Linked DNA regions of Callithrix jacchus. The protein of the gene in region 1 purifies or fractionates together with the protein of each later gene. This does not show direct contact. Links are inferred from orthologs where the notes say so. Each region holds a gene or a part of one and is shown on either strand. Other genes may lie near its edges. The genes, in order: MGRN1 and MC1R.

Evidence for each region.
Region 2: the proteins of MGRN1 (region 1) and MC1R purify together in Homo sapiens (affinity purification with western blotting; 3 studies listed by BioGRID). This does not show direct contact. The link is inferred for Callithrix jacchus from reciprocal best matches to the Homo sapiens genes MGRN1 and MC1R.

What each region holds. Positions count from the first base shown.
Region 1 is NC_133513.1:6,808,032-6,814,732, forward strand, and holds the end of MGRN1 (E3 ubiquitin-protein ligase MGRN1), read left to right. Parts: intron 1-844; coding exon of another isoform or gene 845-885; exon of another isoform or gene 886-889; intron 890-1,235; exon of another isoform or gene 1,236-1,333; intron 1,334-3,403; coding exon 3,404-3,516; 3' UTR 3,517-5,508; downstream 5,509-6,701. UniProt on the Homo sapiens protein: E3 ubiquitin-protein ligase. Mediates monoubiquitination at multiple sites of TSG101 in the presence of UBE2D1, but not of UBE2G1, nor UBE2H. Plays a role in the regulation of endosome-to-lysosome trafficking.
Region 2 is NC_133521.1:47,549,170-47,556,550, forward strand, and holds the start of MC1R (melanocyte-stimulating hormone receptor), read left to right. Parts: upstream 1-3,183; 5' UTR 3,184-6,815; coding exon 6,816-7,381. Other genes in the region: ribosome quality control complex subunit TCF25, read left to right, coding at 1-152. UniProt on the Homo sapiens protein: Receptor for MSH (alpha, beta and gamma) and ACTH. The activity of this receptor is mediated by G proteins which activate adenylate cyclase.

The DNA.
Region 1 (6,701 bases):
TGCTCTGTCAACAGGCTGGAGTGCAATGGCACAATCTTGGCTTATTGCAACCTCCACCTCCTGGGTTCAAGCGATTCTTCTGCCTCAGCCTCCCCAGTAGCTGGGACTACACGTGCCCACCACCATGTCCAGCTAATTTTTATATTTTTAGTAGAGACAGGGTTTCACCATGTTGGCCAGGCTGCTCTTGAACTCCTGACCTCGTGATCTGCCCGACTTGGCCTCCAAAAGTGCTGGGATTACAGACATGAGCCACTGAGCCGGGCTCTGTCTCTCTCTTTAAATCTGTGTGGTGGCCCCCCTGTTTCACTGGCTTTCTCCCTCACAGAGCCCTTGCCTGTTTCTCTGTGTCTGTGAGTAAAGCATGAACACACACGCAGGATCCTGTGGTTTCTCATAGGGGCAGACGTTGCCTGGTGGGTTGGGCAGTGAGCCCTGGTGTCCCTGTAGATGGGAGGGCCCATGAGATGGTGAACACCGGGGGTTCTGGTGTCTCGGGGTTTCCCCTGGCTCAGCCCTGTCTAGCCCCAGCCCCTGCCCAGGGCCTTCCCTCCTGAACCCAGAGGTGGACTGCACCTGCTTCGTCCTTCCTGCACCCTTCCCTCAGCTGCCGTGTGGGAGCTGCAGGAGGGAGAGGCAGGGCCGGGTGCTCCTCCAAGTTGGATTCTGGCCACGTTCCGCCTCCCAGCTGTGGTTCTCCTTGCGGTTCTGTGTGGTTGCAGCACAGCGTTTGTTTCTAGATGGCCCCGACCTTGGTCCCCAGGCTGGTGCCCTTGCTGTGGCGGTGCCAGCTGCTGGGTGCGTGCTAACTGAGCTTCCGTCTGTCTCTCCCCTCTCCGCGCAGCCCTGGGGCCCGACTCCTGCTCTGTTGGTATAGACGAGTAAGCCGGTACGTGACCTTCCAGACGCGCTTCGGGGGCTCTGACGCGCGTCCTTGGAGAGAGGAGCCCTCCCCTGGTCTCTGGTGGGGGTTCCTTCTGGTTTTCGGGTCTTCATCCACATCCATGTCTTCCCAGGGGTCCTGGGTTCTGAATCCAGAGCTCTGGTGGCCGCTGCACCTTTGCCCCAGAAAGTGGCCTCCTGAGGGGTCCTGACTTTTAGAGCCAGAGGTCTCTGCATTTGGACCCGGCGACTGGTCAGGATCTTCTTCCAGCCTTGAGAGGCCCTAGAATAGTCCCAGCCCAGGCAGGGAGACAGACCCAGCCCAGGTGTGCCAGAGCCACTGTCCCCCACAGGAGGCAGGAGCATGGAGGGAACCCCAGGGAGACGCGGGGCGACACTTCGGAGAGGAGAGCCTCAGGCCCAGGCCCAGCCTTGTTCCGGATAGTCCCCTGTGAGTTCCCGTTGGGATGTGCAGCAGGTCACTCCCATTTTCTGGACATGGCTTTAAGTAATAAATCATGGGGAAAAGAATGTGCCCCAGGCTGGGAGAGCCTGGTGATCCCTGTTCCCAAGCTCAGTCCCCGTCTCTTGGAGGGAGTCTCTCCTTAAGGGGTCTTCTGGTGCCCAGGGGAGAGCATCTTGCATCCTGTCCTGAGGGCGTCCACTCACACAGCTGCCTGCTCCCCTGCTCCCCTGCTCCCCTGCTCCCTCCTTCGCTAGTCAGCCTGGCTCCGTGGGCCTGGCAGACAGTCCCTTGTGGGCTGCCTTTCTGCTTTGAGACCACCATTACTGCTAACTCACCTGTCCCTGCCAGTACTGGAACTTTCTGGAACACCAGCACTGAGTGTGATAGGCCCTGTGAGGCTGGCACCCCCATTCCCTCCCAGGAGACCCCCTCATCCCCCCCAAGAGGCACTCTCTACCAGGGTGGCCCAGGCGGATGTTTGACCAAAGCCGCTCTGGCCAGGCACTGGCTCACACCTGTAATCCCAGGTCTTTGGGAGACCAAGGGGTTAGATGACTTGAGCCCAGGATTTCAAAGTAGTGTGGGAAACATAGTGAGACCCCTCTACAAAAGTTTAAAAACTGGCTTGAGCTTGGTGGCTTACACCTGTGGTCCCAGCTCCTAAGAGGGCTGAGGTGGGAGGATTGCCTGAGCTGGGGAGGTCCAGGCCCACTCCAGCCTGAGTCCTTGTCTCAAAAACAGAAAATATACACATGCAAACACACACGTACACACACACACACACACACACACACACACGCACAGGAGAGAGAGAGAGAGGACAGCTCCAGGAGTACCACCAAAAAGTAGGCAGGCAGACTGGGGACCCTCTGCCTTCCCGAAGGGTCTGGGCGCACATGCCGCCTGCAGCTCTGGTCTGCTGAGGGGGCTGCTGGTGTTCTCTGAGGCCGGGGCTCCCACACAGGACCACAGCCATCGTCGGGCAAGGCCCATGTGGCCCGCTGGGAAGTGCCCAGCCGGGGTCCAGGCTCCCAGAGGCCCTTTCCCCTGGGCGGACTTGAGCTGGGCCCAGGAGCTTTGCTTGTTTTGACTGCACTCTGCGTTCTCACGCATCTGTCGTCTTGAGCCCAGTGCGTCCCTCTGTGGACCCCTCTCCTGACCTGTCATACCCCTTGACTGAAACGCCACCTGCACCTTTTAGAGGGCCCCGGCCTGCGTGTCGGGGGATGGTGCCGTTCGAATGTTACGGCTCAGGTCAAGCTTCCAGAGGTGGGGAGCGCAGGTGTGGTCTGGAACAGGCTCACAGCCTCTGAGCTCTGGTATTGCTGCAGGCCGAAGCCCCTGAGGAAGATAGCCATCCTTCACCTGAGAGCGGGGCCGGGCCCTGTCTGCTGGGAGCCATGGGTCAGGGCTGGTGGCTGGATGTTGGGCAGCCCTGAGGCCGTGCTGGCCCCGTCCCAGGCTCAGCACCAGCACTGTTACCCAAGCCCCGGGGAAGCCAGACCCATCTGGGGACAGCACCTGGCAGCGGTGTAGAAGCCATAGTCCAAGCGTCGGGGCTCTGTGGGAGGCTCCTCTCTGCCTCACAGAAGCCACCATGGGGCCACTCTGAGCTTGGGATCGTTCTCGCTCGGGGCTGCTCCCTGCCCCTCCACCCCAGGGTGACTGAGTTCTAGCCTAACCTAGCCATAAGGACCTTAGCAGGACAGTGGGTGGTCACATCCCAGGAAACTGGGACCAGGGGGAGGGCAGGAGACCCAGAGGACAGAAGCCACAGCGCCACGTCGTGTTCTGACTCGGGGCTGCAGCTCTGCTGCCAGTGTCTGGGGGTGCAGGGTGATGTGCCCGGTGTCCTGGGATGAGGGGTGATCTGCCTGAGAGGGACACACCGTGCTTGGCAGGGCTGGAGAGGCCCCATCTGTTCTGGCCACAGACAGGTGGCGGGAGTGGGGGTGCGGGGTGGCCCACCCCTGTGTGGCTCCAGGTTGGTAGGAGTGGGTGGCACCAAGCAGCTGAGTGTGACCCACCTCCCTCCCCCTCTGCTCCTGCCTGCAGGATGGCCCACCTCCATGGAAATGGCCCACAGCCTTGGCACCACCAGCCCCACCTGGCCTCCTCTTGGTGGCCCCAGCCCTGATCCCAGCACCGCCGAGCTGACCTCACTCTGAGAGCCTGGCCAAGCTGGCAGCATGGAGCCCTCAGCTCCCTAGACTTTGCCAAGGGGCTGCCCCAGACCCCGGTGTGACTCGGCCTCTCCTGTCTGCATGCCCCCTGTGGCCACCAGGCTCCAAGGGGCTGTGGTGACCCCTGATGAAAGAGCACAGTGGACTGTCCCCCAAGTCCCCCTTTTCTATGGTTGATATATTTGTAACTGGTACAAGATGAAGGACAGCAGCTTTCCATCCCAAGTTCAGCGCCTGGGTTCCCCAGGGTCTGGTGGGCCGAGCATCTGGGGCTGGGGCTGCCCACATGTGGCTTTTGCTGGCTGCACCGGGTCCCTCAGCAGTGCAGTTGCTGCCCAGAGAACTCAGCAGACCTGCACAAGAGAATTTATTGGTGGGTGAAGCACTATCTTCACAGATGTTCGGGGGCAGTGGGGGCTCGAGGCACGGTCAGTGAAGGAAACGGTGCCTGTCCGCCCAGCCCACCGGTGTTACCACGGCAGCCTGGCTGTTGCTGCCTTCTGTCCTCTGCCGTGTTTGTGCAGCCTCCATGCCCTCCCTGGTGTGTCTCTGCTGGCGCCTTCAGTGCTCAGAGCTTTGGGGTGCACTGCTGTCGCTCTGGGCAGCTGAAGCATCTCAGCCTAGCACTGGACCTGACTGAGGGGCCAAGGCACAGCCGCTTCCAGCAGCCATCATCCAGCAGCCTTGTTACCAAGCCCTGCACCTTCTCACCGTGCTGGCTTTGGTGACCTCACCAGGCCCCTCCAGTTGCAGGGCCATCCGTTCAGCAGGGCCCTGTCAAGAAGGACCATTCCCTTTTGTCATTGGAATGTCCCCTGCGGTTCTCTTTTTTTTGAGATGGAGTTTCACTCTTGTTGCCCAGGCTGGAGTACAGTGGCATGGTTTCGCTCACTGTAACCTCCACCTCCCAGGTTCAAGTGGTTGTCCTGCCTCAGCCTCCCGAGTAGCTGGGATTATAGGTGCATGCCACCAACCCTGGCTAATTTTTTTGTATTTTTAGTAGAGACAGGGTTTCACCATGTCGGTCTGGCTGGTCCCGAACTCCTGACCTCAGGTGATCCACCCACCTCGCAAAGTGCTGGGATTACAGGCATGATCCGCTGCGCCCGGCCCCCTTGTGGTTCTCTTTGATTTGATGTGTCAGGCTCCCTCGGTGAGACCCACCCGGGGAGGAGGGAGCCAGCAGCCCACCTGGTAAGTGAGGTCACAGCCTGGAGGCTTGGCCTCTGGGCGACGTTGTCCTGTTTTTATTAAGGTAAACATCCTGGGCAGCAGACAGGTGAAGGGGGTATCTGGCCTTGGTGACCCAGGACTTGAGCCACCCCAGCAGGGCCCTGGGCCGGGAAGGTATGTGTGGGTCTTCTGGCCCGGGGGCGGGGAGGTTGCCCTGCAGCTGGGCTTGGGGATCAGATGGCTGTGGGGCAGCTCACAGCCCTCCCTGAGGTTCAGGGTGGCCTTGAGTACAAGCTCTGCTTCCTGGGCGCTCAGGGGGGACCCAGCAGTGGTCCCTGCACCCAGCTCCCTGCACACCCAGGCCAGTCCCCTCCTGCCCTTGTGCACATGCTCTCACATTCACACACATGCTTATGCACAGTCACTTGCACATGCTCATACACACATGCTCCCACGTTCACGCACACATGCTCAGGCATATTTGCACACACTCATACGCATACACACATGCTCCCACACACGTGCACGCATACACATACCCATACGCATATGCTCCCACGTGTGTGTGCACTTGGCCCAGGCATCTCCCCAACGCACCTCCCCCCACACACCTCCCCCCAACCCCACCTCTCCTCCCGCTCTGCCAAGGCCCCAGCCTGTGGCCGTCGGTCCTGGTGCCAGGGCTCTCCGTGAAGTTCAGGCTGCAGAATGGCCCGCTGGGACTCCTATGTGCTGCCATTTGATGTGCTCAGATGGGCCCATTTGTTTTTACTGTATATTTATAGTAATAAAATCACGCAGCAATATACTGTCTGTTCCTTCCTCTGGGCACAGCCCTCAGGACAGTGGCTGTTTCCTGACCCGGAGTTGGGCCACTGGGTGGTTGGGTTGGCTCCAACAGCCTGGCAGCTCCATGGCCTCTGCCCGGCTTCCCTCCGGTGTCAGGGCAGTGAGCACGGTGAGGGTTAATGAGAACGCTGGCTCCCAGCCAGCCCTGTTGGAGGGAAGCCACACCCTCGATCGGGCTGTCCCCTGAACAGGTGGTGCGGTAGCCCCCGGGCCTGCAGGTGTGAGAGTTGTTGCTCCTGTTCCCAAGTCTAGCCCCGGTGGTCTCAGGGCTTTTGCTGAGCACCTGGTGTGTTCCAGTGGCAGCAGAACAGCTGAGGCGCGGACCCCAGGCGCCTGCATTCCAGGCAGTGAGACGCCCGGCTGCTAATCAGAATCTTGCCAGGTTTGGATGCTATAGGAAGAAGGGGTGGTGGTGAGATGAAACCTTAAAAGGGACTCATTGAACTGGGCGGCAGGGAGAGCCTGAGACTTCCAACAGCCCTTAAGGCTGAGGAGGAGCTGGCCTTGGAGTGCTCCAGGTGGCAGTAGTGAGGCTGGTGTGTCCCCTGGGGACAGAGCCCCTGGTTGGAGTGAAGGGTTCTGGATAGCTACTGAAGAGCTTGTAGAGGCTACTGGAGTGTTTTTATTAGGGGGAGTCAGATTTGTTTTGTTTTGTTTTTTTGAGGTGGAATCTTGCTCTGTCACCCAGGCTGGAGTGCAGTGGTGCAATCTCGGCTCAGTGCAGTCTCTGCCTAAGGGGGAGTCAGTTTTAAGAACAGGTTTTCAAGCAGAGGGGCAGTGCCAGTGCCCTACAGCTGGCCTGTGGAGCCCGGACGGCCGGAGCAGGTCTGGCCGCCCAGGGTTGTGGGCTCGAGGGCTAGAGCCCAACCCCAGGCCTCTGCCCAGCCCCTGCTCCCCTGCCCAGGGAGTGGCCAGTGCACCAGGGCAGCTACCACTCGGCCCCAGCTCCTTTGCACACAGGTCAAGTTGCCACCATGCCCCTCGACTGAAGACCCTGAGGGTGGAGGGGTTGCCCATGTTTTGGCCCATCAGTCCCCCAAGAAGGCTGCCACCCATGGGCCCTGCAGCTGCTCTGACAGGCCTGGGTCTGGCTCCATCCCATTGTGGGTAGAGTGTCAGACGGGTGCTTGCACGGGCTAGATTGGCTC
Region 2 (7,381 bases), on another chromosome or scaffold:
GACCCGAGGAAGGAGTGGCTGGGGGTCTGAACCGCAACCAGGGCCTCAACAGGCTGATGCTGGCTGTGCGCGACATGATGGCCAACTTCCACCTCAACGACGTAGAGGCGCCCCACGAGGACGACGCAGAGGGGGAGGGGGAGTGGGACTGAGCGTCCGCAGAGCGCCTGGAAGCTGTACACTTACGTTCCTGATTTCTGTGCTGGTCGGAATTGGCCAGCTCCCTGAAGTAGAGATGCTGACTGTACTGCCGGCCTGGTCCGCTGTGTCTCCTATAAATGTAAATGGGTCATGCTCTGCTGTCCACACGCTCTTCTTTGCCAGGCACTGAGTGTGTCCAGTGCCCTCAGATTCCAATCACTCAGTCCAGTCTCTTCCCAGTGGCCTGTGAGTGAGGCGGGGCCCAGGCCACGTGCTTCCTCTGCTCCCAGAATCTGGGACATGGTGGAGAAGGGGACCCACAGTGTCTTCAGGGCAAGTCCCTGCTGAACGCCAGGGCCCTGGGGCTGGTCCTCCTCAGCCTGCTCTGGGTTCATGGACAGCTGCATTCCTTGTTGGTAGAGGGTTTCAGGGTGGGACTGGAGCAGGGAGTCCCCTACGCTGCAGCCTGCCTTCAGTCTTGTTCCTCCAAGCCGATGGGAGCTGATGTGCTGCGGTCCTCTGGCTGGACGCCACCATCTGTGGAGTCTGAGACATCTTTTTTTTTTTTTTTTTTGGAGACGGAGTCTTGCTCTGTCACTGGGCTGGAGTGCAGTGGCGCCATCTCGGCTTACTACATCCTCCAGCTCCTGGGTTCAAGCAATTCTGCCTCTGCCTCTGCCTCCCAAGTAGCTGGGACTACAGGCGCATGCCACGACACTCACCATGCCCAGCTAAGTTTTGTATTTCGGTATTTTTTCTTTTTGGGACAGAGTCTCACTCTGTCACCCAGGCTAGAGTGCAGTGGCGCAATCTCAGCTCACTGCAACCTCCGCCTCCTGGGTTCAGGTGATTCTCGTGCCTCAGCCTCCTGAGTAGCTGGGATTGCAGATGTCTGCCACCACACCTGGCTAATTTTTGTATTTTATTAGAGATAGGGTTTCACCATATTGGCCAGGCTAATCTCGAACTCCTGAACTCAGGTGATCCACCGACCTCAGCCTCCCAAAGTGCTGGGATTACATGCATGAGACACCGTGCCTGGCCCAAGTTTTGTATTTAGTAGAGATGGGGTTTCACCTTCTTGGCCAGGATGGTCTCAATCTCTTGACCTGGGGATCCACCTGCCTCAGCCTCCCAAATTGCTGGGATTACACGTGTGAGCAACCGTGCCTGGCCAAAATAATTTTATTAGAAAACTTAAGGGCAGTGCCTGGAATTGAAGGAGAAGCCCCAGGAGCATGTTTTGGAAAGAGAGGTTCATGGGCAGCTCTGAAGGGTGGTGTGGCAAAGATCAGGAGACATTCGGTCTGGGGGTGAATGGGCCACTCTGACCGAGCCCCCAGCCTGGAGAGGGGCATAGCTGGAGCAGGTCTGGGCACACTTGAGCGGTGGTGTCCAGAACCTGTACATCCCGCAGTGTTGCAGCTGCAGGAGGACAGAGGGTGCAGCCAGGCGAAATCAGAAGCCGGCATGGTTCTGGAAGGACTGAGAACATGAAGTGTCATGGCTGCACCAGGGTTTCTGTCCCCTGCACCCCACAGCACCCTGATCTTTCACCCTCAGGAGACAGCAAGCACAAGGGGCTGGGAGGAGGGCAGCCAGTGAGGCAGGAGACATGTTCTGGCCCCAGCTGGGTCCTGGTCCATGGACCCACCTCCCAGAAAGCCCCATCACTGTATCATCGTCTATCAAGGGCCCACTGAGGTCTGTGAGCACATCTTTTTCCTGGTGTCGCCTGACTGCTCAGTATTTCCCAGCTGGGAGCCTAGGGTGCAGGACCCTCCCCGGGACAGTGAGGGCCCCCTGTCTGTGATAAGAGGCGGCCTGAGGGGTGAGCCCTGTGTGCCCGTCTCAGATGCGGGCCTGAGGGTGCAGCCCTCGAGCTGGGCTGGCCATTTGGAGGGGTGCACCGGGGTGCCAGCTGTGACATCCTGAGCCTGCTGCGCTCCTCTCCCCAGATGCTGCAGCAAGAGATGGTGCAGCAGCCTCCTTCCTCTCTGCAGCAAGGGAATGATGTCTGTGGTCAGCGGGAGGCTCTGGGGAGCACAGGCTGGTGCAGAGCGGGGGCCCTCCCGGCATCTCACCCACCCTTTTTTCCATGCCAGCATAACTGGCTTTTTTGGGGATCTGCACTCAGCTCCAGGGAAGGTGGCCGGGATCATCCCAGTCTGCCTTGGTTCCCTGCCCTCCACAGCCAGGTGCCTGTGATGAGCTTCAGCCACTGAGATGGGGGGACTGCTAGAGTCTTCAGGGGCTTGTTCTCTGAAAGTGACAGGCAAGCAAGGAGAGCTGGGTTCCTGCCTCTTCCTTCCAGATGCCTTGAGTCCACCCACATGGGGATGTGGTGTTTGGAGCTCCAGCAGCCGTCCTGTGCTTGGGAGTCAAAGAAGAGCCGGTGTTCCAGGGACAGTGAGTGCAGCAGAGGTTGAGCCCAGACCTGCTGTCCTGAGAGGTGGCTGGGTCACTGACGCCTTGGCACTGCTGCTGGGGTTATGTCGTGAGCTGCCGCTGAGCCTGTTCCTAATGACCGTGAGACCCGAAGACTACTCTCAAGGCTTGGCCTCTGCCATGCTTGTGGGGGATCGTGGATCCTGCTTCCTCCCTGGCCCTGCTGAGCCCAGTGAGAGCCTGAGGCACATGTGGCTTCCCCAGCTGGGCCCTTTTCCACTGAGCCAGTCCCCCGCCCCAGAGTCTTCAACGCAGGCACCTCCCACCCTCCCACCCCCCACCCCCGGTTCAAAGGAAACTGATGGCCCCTGAGCCAAGGGCTGAGGCGGGCTGTGGGCCTGGCTGTCCTTGGGAGCTGTACTGGAGCCCACCATGTTGGGACCCAGAGGCAGACTCACGGTGGCCCAAGAGCTCGGGACTGTTGGTCCAGTGGTGACCCCCACCTCCCTGTGGGTGGCTGCAGCTGGACAGGCACCCTGGGCTACAGAGCTGGGTTCCCTGCAGCCCTTGGGCGCACACTGCATGCATGCATACGTGTGTGCATATTCATGTGTGCACACGCGTATGTGTGTGGGTGTTGCAGACCTTGGGTGCCAGACACGGAACAAACCCAGGAAGGCATCTGTCTTCATTGTCCTCATGGGACCCCAGTCCAGAAACGTCCTTGTGGGAAGTGCTCCATGGGACCATGCCTCTGCCCGTGGGAAGGCACCGTCCACCACGACCCTGGTGAGCAGGCACGCCGGCCCCATGTGTCTTCCTGCCGCTCCACACGCAACATCTCCAGGGGCACTAGGAGATCCAAACAGATAGGATTAGCTGTAGAAGTATCTGATTCCATCTAATCACAGATGGTCCTGAGGCTAATTTATCTCCCCCATGACCATAACGAATCAGAATGTTGATTTTTTCCAGCTCATCTGTACCTCATCTCCTTCCCACAGTGCCCCGACAGGCACATCCAATGAGAACCACAGTGGGAGTCCTGTGGCAGGGTCATCCACTTCTGATGCCCTCCAGCTGTGTCCTGGCAGGAAACGGGCTGCCTGATTCTCATGCCCTTTGAAGTCCCAGGCTGGGTGGCTGGGGTGGAGGCTGGGGTTAACCACCATCTATTTCAAAGGCCTCATTATGGAGATGCGAATGTGAACATCCCTGAAATGTGAGGATGCAGTGGGCTGGGATAGGGCTGCTCACCGGCTCATGGCCACAGGGGAGCGGGGTTTGGGTCTGTGAAGTGTATGGATGTCCAGGGACTCCTATGCAGGGACATGGCCCCTCATGCCAGGGGGCCGTCTGCCTTCCCCAGCCAGGCTCAGCCTCCTCCTCACATCTGGAACCCTTCTCTCCCCTGTGCTCAGCTGGAAGCACAGCATGAGGCAGCAAAGGCCATGGGAGGCAAAAGGCTGGACTGAGGTGAGGCTGTGTGGGTGTGGCCAGACTGCAGGTCTGTGGAGGTGTGAGCAGGGCACGCTGTCCAAATGAGCTGTGTGTGCTGCCAGACCCAGGTCTGCCAGTCTGAAGATGGTTTGACCAAGTGTCCCAAAGCAGAAGCCCTGCCCATGTCCTTCCTGCATGCCATCCAGCAGGTGCACGCACCTGTGTCCATCAGGTGATATAGCAAACTGCCAGCAGCACTGTAATTGACAGAGTCTGAGGCCACCCCAATGTTCACACAATGGACACCACGGTCTGAGGCAGAGGATTGCAGCCACCAGCATGGGCAAATCTTAGCCGGAGAGAGCCAGCCGGGTGGGAACGTGGTGTCTGTGTCTGGTGCTGCTTATGTACCTGGTTCAGGTGGGGCATCCCTCTGCCTGCGTGTTCGTCATTGGTGCACGTTTATGTGTGTTGTACTCAATTAAAACATTTTAGGCCCAGTGCGGTGGCTCACGCTGTAATCCCAGCACTTTGGGAGGCCGTGGTGGGTGGATCAGGAGATGAAGACCATCCTGGCCAACATGGTGAAACCCCGTCTCTACTAAAAATTAGCTGGGCATGGCGGTGTGCGCCTGTAGTCCCAGCTACTTGGGAGGCTTAGTCAGAAGAATTGCTTGAACTGGGAGGTGGAATCTGCAGTGAGCAAAGATCGTGCAACTGCACTGCAGCCTGGGTGACAGAGAAAAACTCCATCTCAAAAAAAAAAAAATTAAAAGCAGGCCAGGCATGGTGGCTCACACCTGTAATCTCAACACTTTGGGTGTCCGAGGCAGGCGGATCACCTGAGATTAGGAGTTCAAGACCAGCCTGACCAACGGCAAAACCCCATCTTTACTAGAAACACAAAAATTAACCAGGGGTGGTTGTGGGCACCTGCGGCCAGACTGCTACTTGGGAGACTGAGGCAGGAAAATCACTTGAACCCGGGAGGTGGAGGTAGCAGTGAGCAGAGATCAGGTCCCTGCACTCCAGCCTCAGTGGCAGAATGAAACTGGGTCTCAAAAAAATAAATTTTAAAGCAAAAATATTTATAAATTGCAAAATTCAAAATGTAACAAATATATATACTGCATCAGTAAATATTATAGTAATGTGCTCACACATGGAGGTGGCTTGTGAGTGATGTGGGCATTCCACAGTCAGAGACTGGCAGGCTGGCCAGTGACAGAGAGCATGGATCCTAACTCAGATGTCGCAGGTGCAAACATTGAAACCCTGATGCGGTGCCTGTCCCGTTGCCTCCTTTTCTGCATCTGTAAATGGGATGAGTAATTTGGTCCCCCCTTCTGCTTCCACCTTCATAAGGAGGTTTTTCGTCAACACAGACACGGTGTTAGCAAGGAAGTGCTAGGAGCGCCCTGGAGTGAACGCAGAAAGATGCCCGAACTGGGCATGGCGGCCCCTCCCGACCGTCCCTGCTGGGCCTGGGGGCCACACCCAACTGCTGTGAACGGATGGCAGAGCACCACGTGCGGCCACTGGCTGGAGGCGAGAGGTCTGCCTTTGATGTGGCTCCTGGTGCTGGGCCTGTGGTGCCTCCACAGCGGAAATAGGGGCACTGCTGGGGGAGGGCAGGAGCAGTGTCCCAGGTGCCCCAATGAGGATGAACCATGAGATGACTGAAGGGTCCGGAAGGCCTCACCAGGGTGCCCCCAGCCAGTCTGCTGGTCCGAGACCAGAAGGCGACACCCCCAGCCCCAGGGCTGCCATCAAGGGGGCTGCTAGTCTGGCTAGGCGAGGCTGGGCCCTTAGGGGCAGGGGCCAGAGCGGCCTCAGGCTCTTTGTGATACCTAGAAGCATCACCCCCTTCAGGGACCTCTGGCATTGGGCCCTTTCACCCTCTGCCCTGCCTGGAAGCCCCTCACACCCTGGTGATGTGTGTCTCCACCAGGGTCCATTCAGTTTCCAGAACTTTAATTACTGGGAAGTTCTCCCTGGTACAGCCCCCAAATCTGCCATGAACACTGACAGCTGAGTTGCTGCTCCATGCATGCTTCAGCTGAGAGCAGAGGAGGCCCCTGTCCTCACTGAGCTGCTGACATAAGGAGCGGGGGTTAGGGGCTGGGGCTGCTGTCCATGGCCAGTGACTATCTGAGGCGGAGGAGCCTCTGGAGGGGGCAGGGCCCGGGGAAACCCTGGACTCCTGGAGGGGTGGCCAGGCGGGGGCCCTGGTGACCTGGACAGATGGTGGTGTTTTTTAATGGGAAGGGGATGGGCTCTGTGTGGGACTCCCTGGGCGCTGTGTGCCGCCTGATGGCAGGCCAGGCGGGGGTGGGCACTCACTCATCCCAGGCACACGCCCATCATGTGGCCGCCCTCATGGGAGGGGCTCTGAGGATGACTTTAAAAATGCAGAGAAAGGCTCCATTCTTCCCAGGACTGCAGTCCAACCCTGGCCCAGGGAAGCAGGAGGCAGGCAGAGGTCTCAGAGGCCAGGAGGGGCCAGAGGTGTGGAAATGTCCTGGGAACCTGAGCAGCCTCCAGGGAAGAGGCAAGGAGGGAGCTGAGGACCAGGTTTGTTCAAATTGGTTGTGAGATGCCCTGAGGTCAGAGGGTTCATGCTAGGAAGTGTCTGGACTGGCTGGGCCATGCCCAAGCTGGCCGGTCCAGGAAGGAGAGGGTGAGTGTGAGGGCAGAACTGGGGTGTGCCCGGATGGAATGAGGCAGGCATGGGGGACACCCAGGGCACCCCAGCAGCACCATGAGCTAAGCAGGACACCTGCAGGGGGAGAACTGTGGGGACCTGGGAGCCTCCAGCGACCCCTTCCTGCTTCCTGGACGGGACTATGCCTATGCAGGGAGCTCAGAGGAAACTCCTGGGGTCCCTCAACTCCACCCCCACAGCCACCTCCAACCCGGGGCTGGCTGCTAACCACACAGGAGCTCCATGCCTGGAGGTGTCCATCCCCGACGGGCTCTTCCTCAGCCTGGGGCTGGTGAGCTTGGTGGAGAATGTGCTGGTGGTGGCTGCCATCGCCAAGAACCGCAACCTGCACTCGTCCATGTACTACTTCATCTGCTGCCTGGCCCTGTCGGACCTGCTGGTGAGCGGCAGCAACATGCTGGAGACGGCCATCATCCTCCTGCTGGAGGCCGGCACGCTGGCGACCCGGGCCTCAGTGGTGCAGCAGCTGCACAACACCATCGACGTGCTTACCTGCAGCTCCATGCTGTGCAGCCTCTGCTTCCTGGGCGCCATCGCCGTGGACCGCTACATCTCCATCTTCTACGCGCTGCGCTACCACAGCATCATGACACTGCCGCGGGCGCAGAGAGCCATCGCGGCCATCTGGGTGGCCAGTGTCCTCTCCAGCACACTGTTCATCACCTACTACGACCACGCGGCCGTCCT